3 linked regions of the Oryzias latipes genome follow. The protein of the gene in region 1 purifies or fractionates together with the protein of each later gene. This does not show direct contact. Links are inferred from orthologs where the notes say so. Each region holds a gene or a part of one and is shown on either strand. Other genes may lie near its edges.

Region 1 (4,054 bases):
TGCATGACGGAAAAAAATGACACGTTTTTTGCAAAAAACTGAAGCTTGTTGAGAGGAAAATGTATAAGAAAGAATGCAATGGGTGTGGCAGCGCTCTTCAAGACTATACTGAACCTGAACAGATTAAACTGTTCGGTATTTTTTTCGATAATCATCATAAACTACAATGCAAAGATGGAAATTTAATGACATGCGTGTGACATGATCTGTTTTAACAAGACTGAAAAGACTCCCAATGCTGCCTCCGAATCCATAGGCGTCTCAGGTCACATCCAAAGGTGTAACATGTCTGATGACTGATGTCACAGATGGGTTTTGTTGTTAGTAACCAAGATAAAGAACCATTTATGTGCTTTGGACTTGAGAATTGGTCAAAACTGATGGAGAGGGCAACCCATCCTCAGGAGGAGCAGGGCGTTACCCCTCCAGCAGATTTTACAATAAAGATCGCCTCAATTCACCGACAGCTACAGCTCTGCCTCTTGATTTTGTGGCTTAGCAAGGTCATGTGACTGCCGGATAAAGGCGTCTGTGTGGATGTCGGCCTGTATCCAAGCAACTCCTCCATTCATTTCCTAGTAACCGTTAAACCTTGGGAGTGGGGGGCTGGGGTGGATTGCTCTGCTGGCATTATGGCCTACATCAATCCTGTGGGACCTGCAACAGCTGAAGCTCCTAAATCTGAGGGAAACGGCCACTGTGACAGTGAAATGCCCAGGCAACATGCAAAAATGTTAGACACATTGAAGAGCCTGCAAATAAAATGAACAATGGAGAGTAGTTTTAGGAGGAAGACGTTTAGAATACAGTGTTAAATGTTGTGGTTTTACACACCAAAACGGGTTAAATAGCGTTTTCACAAACTCACAAGTGAAAGTGTAAAAATCAGATAATTGAACAGTTTATCTTTCAGTTTAGTCAAATTAAATATTTTAAAGAGATCTTCACTTCAACCAGTTTAGTGTTGCAACATCATTAATTCTTATTTTGTATGTGCCCACACCTTAAAAGTTAAAAATGTGAAAAGACATGGACATCAACTTATTAAAAATTGGGTGGACAATTACATGGCATTTTTTTTTGTCTCTGGCACAGACGCCATGATTCCAGGCGGGATGACGCGGGAGGATGTCGGGTGGGGTCCTGGGGGCGGTTCTTAAAAAGAGCTGAGCACTCAGCCAATTGGAAGCCGCAAATCTCTAAAGAACAACCAACGGACATGGAAGTGACCAATAGAATGGCAGAAACCACCGGCACGAGGACTGACATGAATATAAATAGCTGTCATCTCCTTCCGCGACGTTACTTCTTACTTCGACCACATAACAGTCGAACCGTAAGACTCCGCGGCGAGGAATTTCTCCCATCCTCTCTCATCACTTAAAAAAAAAGAAAAACAAAATGGTAAGACTTTTTTTGTCGTTATTGTTTTATAAACACTCAGTAAGATGAACACGTTAATGTCCAGTTTCCACTTGTAGAAAAGTAACGAACTAAGGAGAAAACTGTTACTTAGAGTGAAATTTGAATGTTAATGTAAGTAAACCCAAACTTTACCTAGATGACTAAACTTTTCAATGTACAGCAGATGTTGTCTGCAGAATTTGGGAGGTGTTCTGGCTCGGTTCGGGCCGATATACGTGGCGGGTAGGATGAACAAAAGAGGGTTTCAGGGCTGGACAATCCGCAGAGTCTGCGGCGAATCGCTCCCCTCCTTCTCCGAGTCATCACTTGTCTGTAGTTGACTGTTGGCAGGAATTTAAATAGAAGACGAAATACAAAAATAAAAAATGATGACACAAAAAAAGACTCCTGGAAAGGTTGTTGTACCCAAGGAAACTTTGTCTGCAGGAACACTTCATGAAACGCGCTGTCGGCAGATCATGGCGGCGTTGATTAATTATGGATGATGGAAAACGGACACTGCTGTTTTGTTTGCCCCCAAAGACCCCAGCAGGAGGAGCGCCGCCTTTTGTCCTCGGGTTGTAACCGAGGACAACAGATACTCAATTGTTTTAAGTTAAAATGTGAGAAACGAGAAGTTTGCGTCGGGGCTTGTTGCCTGGCAACGAAGTTTACTCAGGAGGTCATTGCGCCGCGCAGAAGGGCAATCGGTTAACTTCTTAAAATAATAAAGAGAACGAAAACATTAGCAAATAAATCCATAATATTCAATGGGAAAACTTTCTTATATTCTTATGAATACATTTTATATTTGAAAAAAGTTTACTTTCAAAAGTCAAACTATGAGCAAAGTTTGTAAGACTTGTAGTCCAAAGGTTTTAGTAATTTATTTACAGTTTTCTCTCTCTCTCGTTTTTTGGTTTGTTTTCCCCACAGCGTGAGTGCATCTCCATCCACGTTGGTCAGGCCGGAGTCCAGATTGGCAATGCCTGCTGGGAACTCTACTGTCTGGAACATGGGATCCAGCCGGATGGCCAGATGCCCAGTGACAAAACCATTGGAGGAGGAGACGACTCATTCAACACCTTCTTTAGTGAAACTGGAGCTGGAAAGCACGTTCCCAGAGCTGTGTTTGTAGATCTGGAGCCCACGGTTATCGGTGAGCATCTCTTCCAGATGAACATGTTCTGATGAAGGTGCTGGAGTTTGTGAAAACTAAAGGGATTTGTCGTGTTGTCAGATGAGGTGCGCACTGGGACCTACAGGCAGCTGTTCCACCCTGAGCAGCTGATCACCGGGAAGGAAGATGCTGCCAACAACTACGCCCGTGGACACTACACCATCGGTAAAGAAATCATCGACCTGGTTCTGGACAGGATCCGGAAACTGGTGGGTACAATCAGAGCATGTGTTTGTGTTTGTCTCGTAGTGGTGCAATAACAGTATCTGGCATTTGTTTTCTTGTGTGTCTTCAGGCGGATCAGTGCACTGGTCTTCAGGGCTTCCTGGTGTTCCACAGCTTTGGTGGAGGCACTGGCTCTGGTTTCACCTCTCTGCTGATGGAGCGTCTGTCTGTGGACTATGGCAAGAAGTCCAAGCTGGAGTTCTCCATCTACCCAGCTCCTCAGGTGTCCACTGCTGTGGTGGAGCCCTACAACGCCATCTTGACCACCCACACCACCCTGGAGCACTCTGACTGTGCCTTCATGGTGGACAATGAGGCCATCTACGACATCTGCCGCAGGAACCTGGACATTGAGCGTCCCACCTACACCAACCTGAATAGGCTTATTGGCCAGATCGTGTCCTCCATCACTGCCTCTCTGCGCTTTGATGGTGCCCTCAATGTTGATCTGACAGAGTTCCAGACCAACCTGGTGCCATATCCACGTATCCACTTCCCTCTGGCCACCTACGCCCCCGTCATCTCTGCAGAGAAAGCTTACCATGAGCAGCTTTCAGTGGCTGAGATCACCAATGCCTGCTTTGAGCCGGCCAATCAGATGGTAAAGTGTGACCCCCGCCACGGAAAGTACATGGCTTGCTGTCTTCTGTATCGTGGTGACGTGGTGCCCAAAGATGTGAATGCAGCCATCGCCACCATCAAAACAAAACGCTCCATCCAGTTTGTGGACTGGTGTCCCACTGGCTTCAAGGTTGGCATCAACTACCAGCCGCCCACTGTAGTTCCTGGTGGAGACCTGGCCAAGGTCCAGAGGGCGGTGTGCATGCTGAGCAACACCACTGCTATTGCAGAGGCCTGGGCTCGGCTGGACCACAAGTTTGACCTGATGTACGCCAAGCGCGCCTTTGTTCACTGGTATGTGGGTGAGGGTATGGAGGAGGGAGAGTTCTCTGAGGCCAGAGAGGACATGGCGGCTCTGGAGAAGGATTATGAGGAGGTTGGAGTCGACTCCATTGAAGGTGAAGGAGAGGAGGAAGGAGAAGAGTATTAAACAAGGAGGAGGAATCAGTTACAGAGGAAGGAAATGGCTCAAGCATTCCAAAAAGATGTTTGTTGTTCTAAAAAAGGTTAAGATGTTCAATGAAACCTCCTGAAAATGTCAAGACTGGTTTTGATATGAATAAAATCTCTCACACGATTGTTTGTCTTCATATATTTTCACTTAAAAAATTAAGTTTTGAGCTG
Region 2 (3,374 bases), on another chromosome or scaffold:
AACTGAAAAATGCAATAAGAACACGTTAAAAACACCAAAAACACTATTTTCATCAGATTGTGTCATTAAACCCCCAAACACACTTTCTTGTTTCATTCACTATAACTATAATAGGTTGAATAGTTATTTTCTATCAGAAAAAAAACATTTTTTTGAATTCTGATTCTTGATTATTTGATTTCTCACAAGCACAAAGACATTTTATTGCACAAATTGTTGTGCTTGTTGTTTGCTCGTATTTTGTGTGTCTTTACATCTTTCACAACCAGATGCAATCCAACTCACAGATGTTTCTTTAAACTGTCACTTTCACAGCAAGTCCACCCAAAAGCCTAACTTTGGATGAAGTCATGGATTCGGCAAGGGACATTTTTAACCTCAAAATTTCTCATGAGATTGTGATGAACCCCAGTTTTCACATGGACATGAGCAGCAGACCACAGAACAGGTATTGATGGGAACAGATTGGAAACATTGTGCCTATTTTAGGGGTTTTATGATCTTTGCCAATTTATTTCAGTCGTGGGGAAGGGTTACAGCCACTATGACAAAAATGAAGGAAAAAAGTTAAAGATGATGGTTTGTGTTACGTTTGTCAGCAAAACAAATGATAATATGGAAAAATGTTGGTAAAAGTGAGATACTTTACTCGACTTGAACATGTTACAGCTGGTTAGGTAAACTGGTAGAAGGTTAGTAACATAACTAGATTAGAAAAATAATGTTTTTGAGAGGCTGATTCAAATTTCAAGTGAGATTAATGACCTTAAAAAAAGAAGAAAAAATCCCCAAACGTAAACATGAGATTTTGAGTTGCCCCCTTCTATATTCAACAATGTCATGAAAAGAATGAAGTTTTGTTGTTGGAGGCTGTGGGGTAACGTTAGACCCCTGTAATCTTTAAGCTTTCAGATATTTTATTCTTAGGGAACAAAGAAAAATAGTTATTTTTAAATAAAATATAACTTCTTTATAGGAGGGAATTTCATTAAATCTGTTGGGATTTGTGGAATATCTTGGCACAAAACATAAATACTTGGCACATAAACTTGTTCCTACAAGTTCCTAAGAACTTGATCTCACTGTTATCTTCAAGATAAAATTTCGAAAAGGGGACGAAGAAACTAACAGAATTTAGTGCAATATCAAAGATTTTTGAAGAAAATGCTTTTTTCTTGGATGTAATTTGTTTTTTAATTATTTGTGGATTAACATTTTTTTTTCTAATTTTTCTTTGAAAATCAACAGAACCCTGTTTTTTACTTTTTCTTTTTACAGAAATGTAATACAACAGAATATCAGGCCACCATAAAAATAAATAGATAGATGGGGTCTTTAATAAACCCTGAGGACATTTTAAAATGGCCATCTGCTGACAATCATGAAACACACACACATTAAAAACAATGAAGGTCAATGTTTTAAAGAACAATAAATTTAATCATTTCAAATCAGGGGTAAATAAACAAATTAAGGAAAATAAAGTCATACAATTTTAATATAAATGAAAATAATATTAAATGAGAATAAAGTCATGAATTTACACAGCAAAAGCCTGATTACTAAGAAAAACACAAACAACAGAAAAAAAGGAACGATATTGAGTATGACAGACATAGTGCACATTGTAAGCGGTTACTTCAGCACTGGTTACGCAAATAAGGAAATATTTAGTTTTTTAGTGAATCATCATTGCTATATTATAAGTAAAAGGACATTAAAATTTATACTCCCGTCTGCAGTATAACTGCCGAGATCCAGATGCATTATGGCTCATAGATTTCTATAAATGACTGTATTGAATGATGTAGTCGTCACATATTGTGGATGGAGGCTTACACTACCTTCATAATTTTATGACTTTAGTCTAGTACATTTTGTACTTTTTTTCTTAAACTTTTAGGACTTTATCCTCATATTTAAATTTACCGGTAAATGTTTTTTTTCATGCTGGTCCTAATACTTTAATATTTTGACCTCTCCAAGTTCTTGTTTGATGTGCCTTTTATTGTTTCTCTTTGTTATTTTGACTTTGGTAGCAGACTACTAACCACTGAGGTAATATATCGCATCATGCATGTGGACGCCAGGTCTTAAGAGGTTAAGATATTTTGTTCATTATAAAACGTGTCAGCATCAACTTATGTCTTCATTTTTGAATTTCTAGGTTATTTGAGGTTGTAAGAGATAACATGCACAAGGCTTTCTGGGACATGCTGAAGGAAGAATTGAGTGATGACCCACCTAAATATCAATTTGCCATCAAATTATTAGAGGAGATCAGAGAGGTAAGTACACACCTGATGGCGTTTACTTTGGAAGATATTTCACTGATTTCTTTCATAACATTTTGATTTTCAAAGTTGTTCACTATTTAAACATTTTAGCCTGAAACTGTTTGTTACTGCACAGATTCTACTGTCATTCCTGAATCCGGGTGCAAACCGAATGCGGACCCAGATCATGGAGGTGCTAGACATGGACCTGATTCGTCAGCAGGCTGACAACAACGCTGTAGACATCCAAGGTCTGGCATCCTTCATCATCAACACTATGGGAAAGCTCTGCGCTCCAGTGAGGGAGGAGGAAATCAAGAAGCTGCGGGAGAGCACAGACAACATTGTGATTCTCTTAAAGTAATGCACAGAAAAACTTGTTTTTTTTCTTTTCTTTTCTGCAAAATGTGTCAGAAAAATATCAGAAACCATGACATGTAGCTTTGTATCTCTTTTGTCACTAAACTTTTTTTTTTTGTTTTTTTTTCACACTTTAGAGAGATTTTCCGTGTAATAGATTTGATGAGAGTGGATCACATCAACTTTTCCATTGAACTCATAAGACCTTTTCTGCAGAAGTACAGCGTTGAATACGAAAGGGAAAAATTTCAGAAAATCTTGGAAAAAACACCTAGTAAGTAAAAAAAAAAGAAAGAAATTAATCTGTTTTTTTATGTCACAGTATAGAAAATATCTACATCAGAATGAGATAAAAAAGAACTGCTGCTAAACCATTTTTTATGGAATATCCTCAGCTGCTTTAAACCACACCACTGCCTGGATCCAGGCAGCAAAGGAGGAGCTGTCATCAGCCACTGTTCCCACGGATACCAACCATGGGGTTGGAAAGACCGCTATGCTGAGTCCGTTTCAGCTCCTCAACACTGCCTTTTTACACATACTCAGATGGGACTACTCAAAGAACCCAATACCTGAGGTAATACTTTAAAACGGTGTATAATTTCACTGCATTTATGTCACATTAGAGACATTTTATTTTCTAATGTTTAATCGAATGCTTTGAACGCCCTTTAAGGTTTTTCACATGTCAAGTGAAGTTTTCCTGTTTCGTTAGACTTTGGTGACGGATGAGACGCG
Region 3 (3,448 bases), on another chromosome or scaffold:
TATAGGCACATGTACCAGTAATTCACAAAAACACACCTGCAGTCAACAGCCAACTAAAGTTTGTGAAGCATCTTGTGAGGTAAGATTCCTGCACTAAAGCAAGCGGTTAAAATTGTCCAATGTTAAGTCATTTTGGTGTCTGTGCTCCTTCAGGATCCAGCCTCTGCAGACTCCCTATGGGCTGCCCGCTGAGCAGGACATGGCCGACGCCTTCCTCAACAGCAAGGGCGAGCTGATAGTGCGGCGCCTTCTCCAACCGGTCGCCCGAATCAGCGAGTCTTAGCTTCGTCGTCGCTTTGTGATCCAGTGTTCAAAAGTTGCTTAAAAAATAAAGTTTTTGGTTTTGCTGTAGTGTGAAAATAATGATTTGAGAAATTTCTATGTAATGCCAGCATGATCCTTAATATCTGTATATTTTAGAATTGGATACAAAATTAAAAATTGAGTACCAATTATCTACACAAAGCTGTTAAATTATAAAAATGTTTATTTTCCACAGCAAGTCTGCACTAGTTGATGTTTGAAACATTTAATTGACATGAGTGACATCATGAATACATTTTTCAAAGTTAGGAAAATGATTTGGTATATTTTACCAAGACCAGAAAAAGACCAGAAAAAAACGTTGAATCCGAAACATCAATAAGTTAAGACGTCCACATTTAGACATTTCTCTGAATGTCTTATCAAAGGTTAACAGAGGTATAAACTTGAATAGAAGCTATTATAACATGTGGGCTGGATGTGTCTCCTCAATAAGGTATTAAAAAGAGACAGGAACATGAATGTTTATTTAGAACTTACAGGGGGGTGGAGAATCAAACTGCAAAATCAAGCAAATATATGCTCAACACTACAAAAGCTTATTATATTCTGAGTCATGCTGCTGCTTAGTGATTGGAGAGGAAATAACTTAAGGAAAAGATTAACTTTATCAACAAAAAAAACTGCAGACGTTCTTTCTGCATCTTAGTCATTTAATCAAAAATGATTCAAGGCGGATTTCTCACAATTGGGGGTGCTGATTCCTAATCACATCTGCTGCTGATGACCTGAATCAGGTGAGCAGAGCAGAGCAGAAGCTCCTGAAGCCTGGATTTGTTACTGAAATACATTAACAAAGTCAAGATTTGTCAAATTCTTTTCATACAAAAAATTATACTGATGCAAAATCCTGAACACATTTAACATTGGCACACGTGTTACAATGGTGGCTCAAGGACAAGACTGACGAAATATATCCACTCAAAAGGAAATGAAATGCTAATAAGGAAATAACTTGGGAAGAGCTTTCCGTTCGACCTAATGCTGAGGTAGAAGAAAAGCGGCTTTTGAGTTTTCAGTCCTCTCCAGAGTCTGAATCAGACTCGCAGGCTCGCCCTCTGATGCTTCTCTTCTCAACTTTAGAGAACTTCGTGCCTGATTTCTGTGCTGCTGTTGGAGGCTCCATCAGGTTACCGCTGGAAGAATAAAATGACAGCGTTAGTCCTATCTATAGCACCACAACCCTTTTTATTCCAGATTCTGCCCATCTCACCTGTAGTTGATAACATCGGCGCATCCAAGTCTCCATTCCAGCATTTCCGTTGAAAACTCGTCCGTGTTTCCCAGGTCAGTGAATCCAACCACATAATCCTTAGACTTTCCGTCAATGAGCAGCGCCAGCGTGGGAATGACTTTGATGCGCAGCCTCTCTGTCAGGAAAGGGGCCTTTTCTGCATTCAGTTTGAAAAACTTTGTCTCAACGTGCTTCTTTGCCAGTATGGCCAAATGTTTGTCCAGGATCTTGCATCTGCAGATTAACGGAGGAAACAAATGTTTTTTGATTTGTTATATATATTTATATATATATATGAATGAAGCAATACAAACTTTCACAAAAGTTTAGAGTATTGTCATTTTTCCCAATGACAATGTAACCTTTTACAGTCATTTTATTTACTATTGAATGTTTCAAATATTTAGTTCTAATTTAGTTGATTAACAGAATTTGTTTAGTCTTTAAGTTATGCCTTAGTGAAATTTGACTAACTGATTCTGGATTTTGGTTTACTTGTATTATAAAAACGGTCTCATTCCTTTGCTGTGCAAAGAATTTAAAGGCAAACTGATGAAAATTGTAATTTTGGTCTTTTTAACATGTCGGGTCATTTTTTTGAAGATGGATGACATATTTGAAGAAAATTGAGCTCAAAACATCATATTCTGAGATTATCCTCAATCAAATCTTTGTGAATCGAGAGCAAACGACAAAATGATGGTTGAAAAAGAGCCTAATTGTGACGTAGAAAATACACTCCCTGCTCCGCTCCATTTGAATAAAAGCGGCATCATTATAGTTAAGACCAATGGGAACGCTTTAAAACAAGACGAAAAGATGATGGCATGGGTCTTTAATATCATCTCAAATTTCAAAGTTTAAACTTTTTTTCCCCAAAACTTAGAAATTCTTTTAAAATGCACTTAATGTTAGCGTTAAAATCTTTCCTCAGGTGGGTGTTTCTTATGTAGCTGTAATTATACCTGAAGGTTGAACTCTTGTAGAAATGGCAGACGACATTCTTGCTCTCCTTCACCTCGCCGAAGAAGTCTTTCTCACTGGCGATCTCTCTATACTCACCGTGGCCTTTAGCCAACCACTCCTAAAAGGAAAAAAACATCAAATTATTTACAATCTTATCATTTTTCTAACTGTCAGACATGAATATTACCCATTTCAGGAAAAAAAAAAAAAAAAAAAAAAAATCACAAATCTACACTAATTATCCAGATTTAGATAGTTTTATTTTGCTGGGTTTTTTGCAGAGCAGCATTTAAAATTTGAGCTGATGTCAGTCAGAGAATGACACAGGAGCAGATTAATAATTGATCACTTCAGAAATTAGATAATTTAATCCATATGCATTGGCTACAAGATGTTTGCAGTCATAGTTTGGCCATTTTCTCTTATTAAATAAGACAAATGTGAGTTTCCTAAAAGAGAGATTAAACTAAAACAAAACATTTTCAAAACGCACAAAAACTAAAAGGTCTGCTTCTTCTAGACTTGCACCAGTTACAGCTGCTTAAATGTAGGCACAACTTTCCTTCTTGGTTCATGATTATGAATTGAATCAATTAATACAATCAATCATTTAAAAAAAAGTCTATTAGATTCAACTGTAATAGGCCTGCACAATATACCGCAAATTTATCGTTATCGCGACATCAAGCTGTGCAATATGCATACCGCAAAAGACGGCAAAAATCGCAATAAATGGTTACCTTGACCCTTGTGCTATCCTAGGCACTTTAACATTGGGAGTGGGGTCATCTAGACCCACTAGACCAGAGGTGGGCACTGAGGGCCGCATTCCTGCATCTTTTCCAGCATACCCTGCTCTGGCATGTTCTAATTGGCTGGACACACCTGAACCAGGTAATCAGCCATGAGTAGGGCAAGATTATT

What was found. The genes of interacting proteins can lie anywhere in the genome.
Region 2: the proteins of tubulin alpha-1A chain (region 1) and tcp11l2 purify together in Homo sapiens (affinity purification with mass spectrometry; 3 studies listed by BioGRID and IntAct, counting the BioPlex papers as one, with this or other methods). This does not show direct contact. The link is inferred for Oryzias latipes from reciprocal best matches to the Homo sapiens genes TUBA1A and TCP11L2.
Region 3: the proteins of tubulin alpha-1A chain (region 1) and txndc9 purify together in Homo sapiens (affinity purification with mass spectrometry; 3 studies listed by BioGRID and IntAct, counting the BioPlex papers as one, with this or other methods). This does not show direct contact. The link is inferred for Oryzias latipes from reciprocal best matches to the Homo sapiens genes TUBA1A and TXNDC9.

Annotation. Positions count from the first base shown.
Region 1 is NC_019865.2:25,876,987-25,881,040, reverse strand, and holds tubulin alpha-1A chain, read left to right. Parts: upstream 1-1,247; 5' UTR 1,248-1,401; coding exon 1,402-1,404; intron 1,405-2,340; coding exon 2,341-2,563; intron 2,564-2,644; coding exon 2,645-2,793; intron 2,794-2,879; coding exon 2,880-3,860; 3' UTR 3,861-4,009; downstream 4,010-4,054. UniProt on the Homo sapiens protein: Tubulin is the major constituent of microtubules, a cylinder consisting of laterally associated linear protofilaments composed of alpha- and beta-tubulin heterodimers.
Region 2 is NC_019881.2:17,114,428-17,117,801, forward strand, and holds part of tcp11l2 (T-complex protein 11-like protein 2), read left to right. Parts: intron 1-315; coding exon 316-448; intron 449-2,167; coding exon 2,168-2,288; intron 2,289-2,412; coding exon 2,413-2,636; intron 2,637-2,773; coding exon 2,774-2,910; intron 2,911-3,031; coding exon 3,032-3,213; intron 3,214-3,351; coding exon 3,352-3,374. UniProt on the Homo sapiens protein: Promotes the migration of muscle-derived satellite cells (MDSCs) during differentiation throught interaction with FMNL2 and therefore may participate in microfilament assembly.
Region 3 is NC_019879.2:10,009,619-10,013,066, reverse strand, and holds the end of txndc9 (thioredoxin domain-containing protein 9), read right to left. Parts: intron 2,643-3,448; coding exon 2,524-2,642; intron 1,793-2,523; coding exon 1,538-1,792; intron 1,461-1,537; coding exon 1,340-1,460; 3' UTR 514-1,339; downstream 1-513. Other genes in the region: mrpl30 (39S ribosomal protein L30, mitochondrial), read left to right, coding at 6-79, 154-283. UniProt on the Homo sapiens protein: Significantly diminishes the chaperonin TCP1 complex ATPase activity, thus negatively impacts protein folding, including that of actin or tubulin.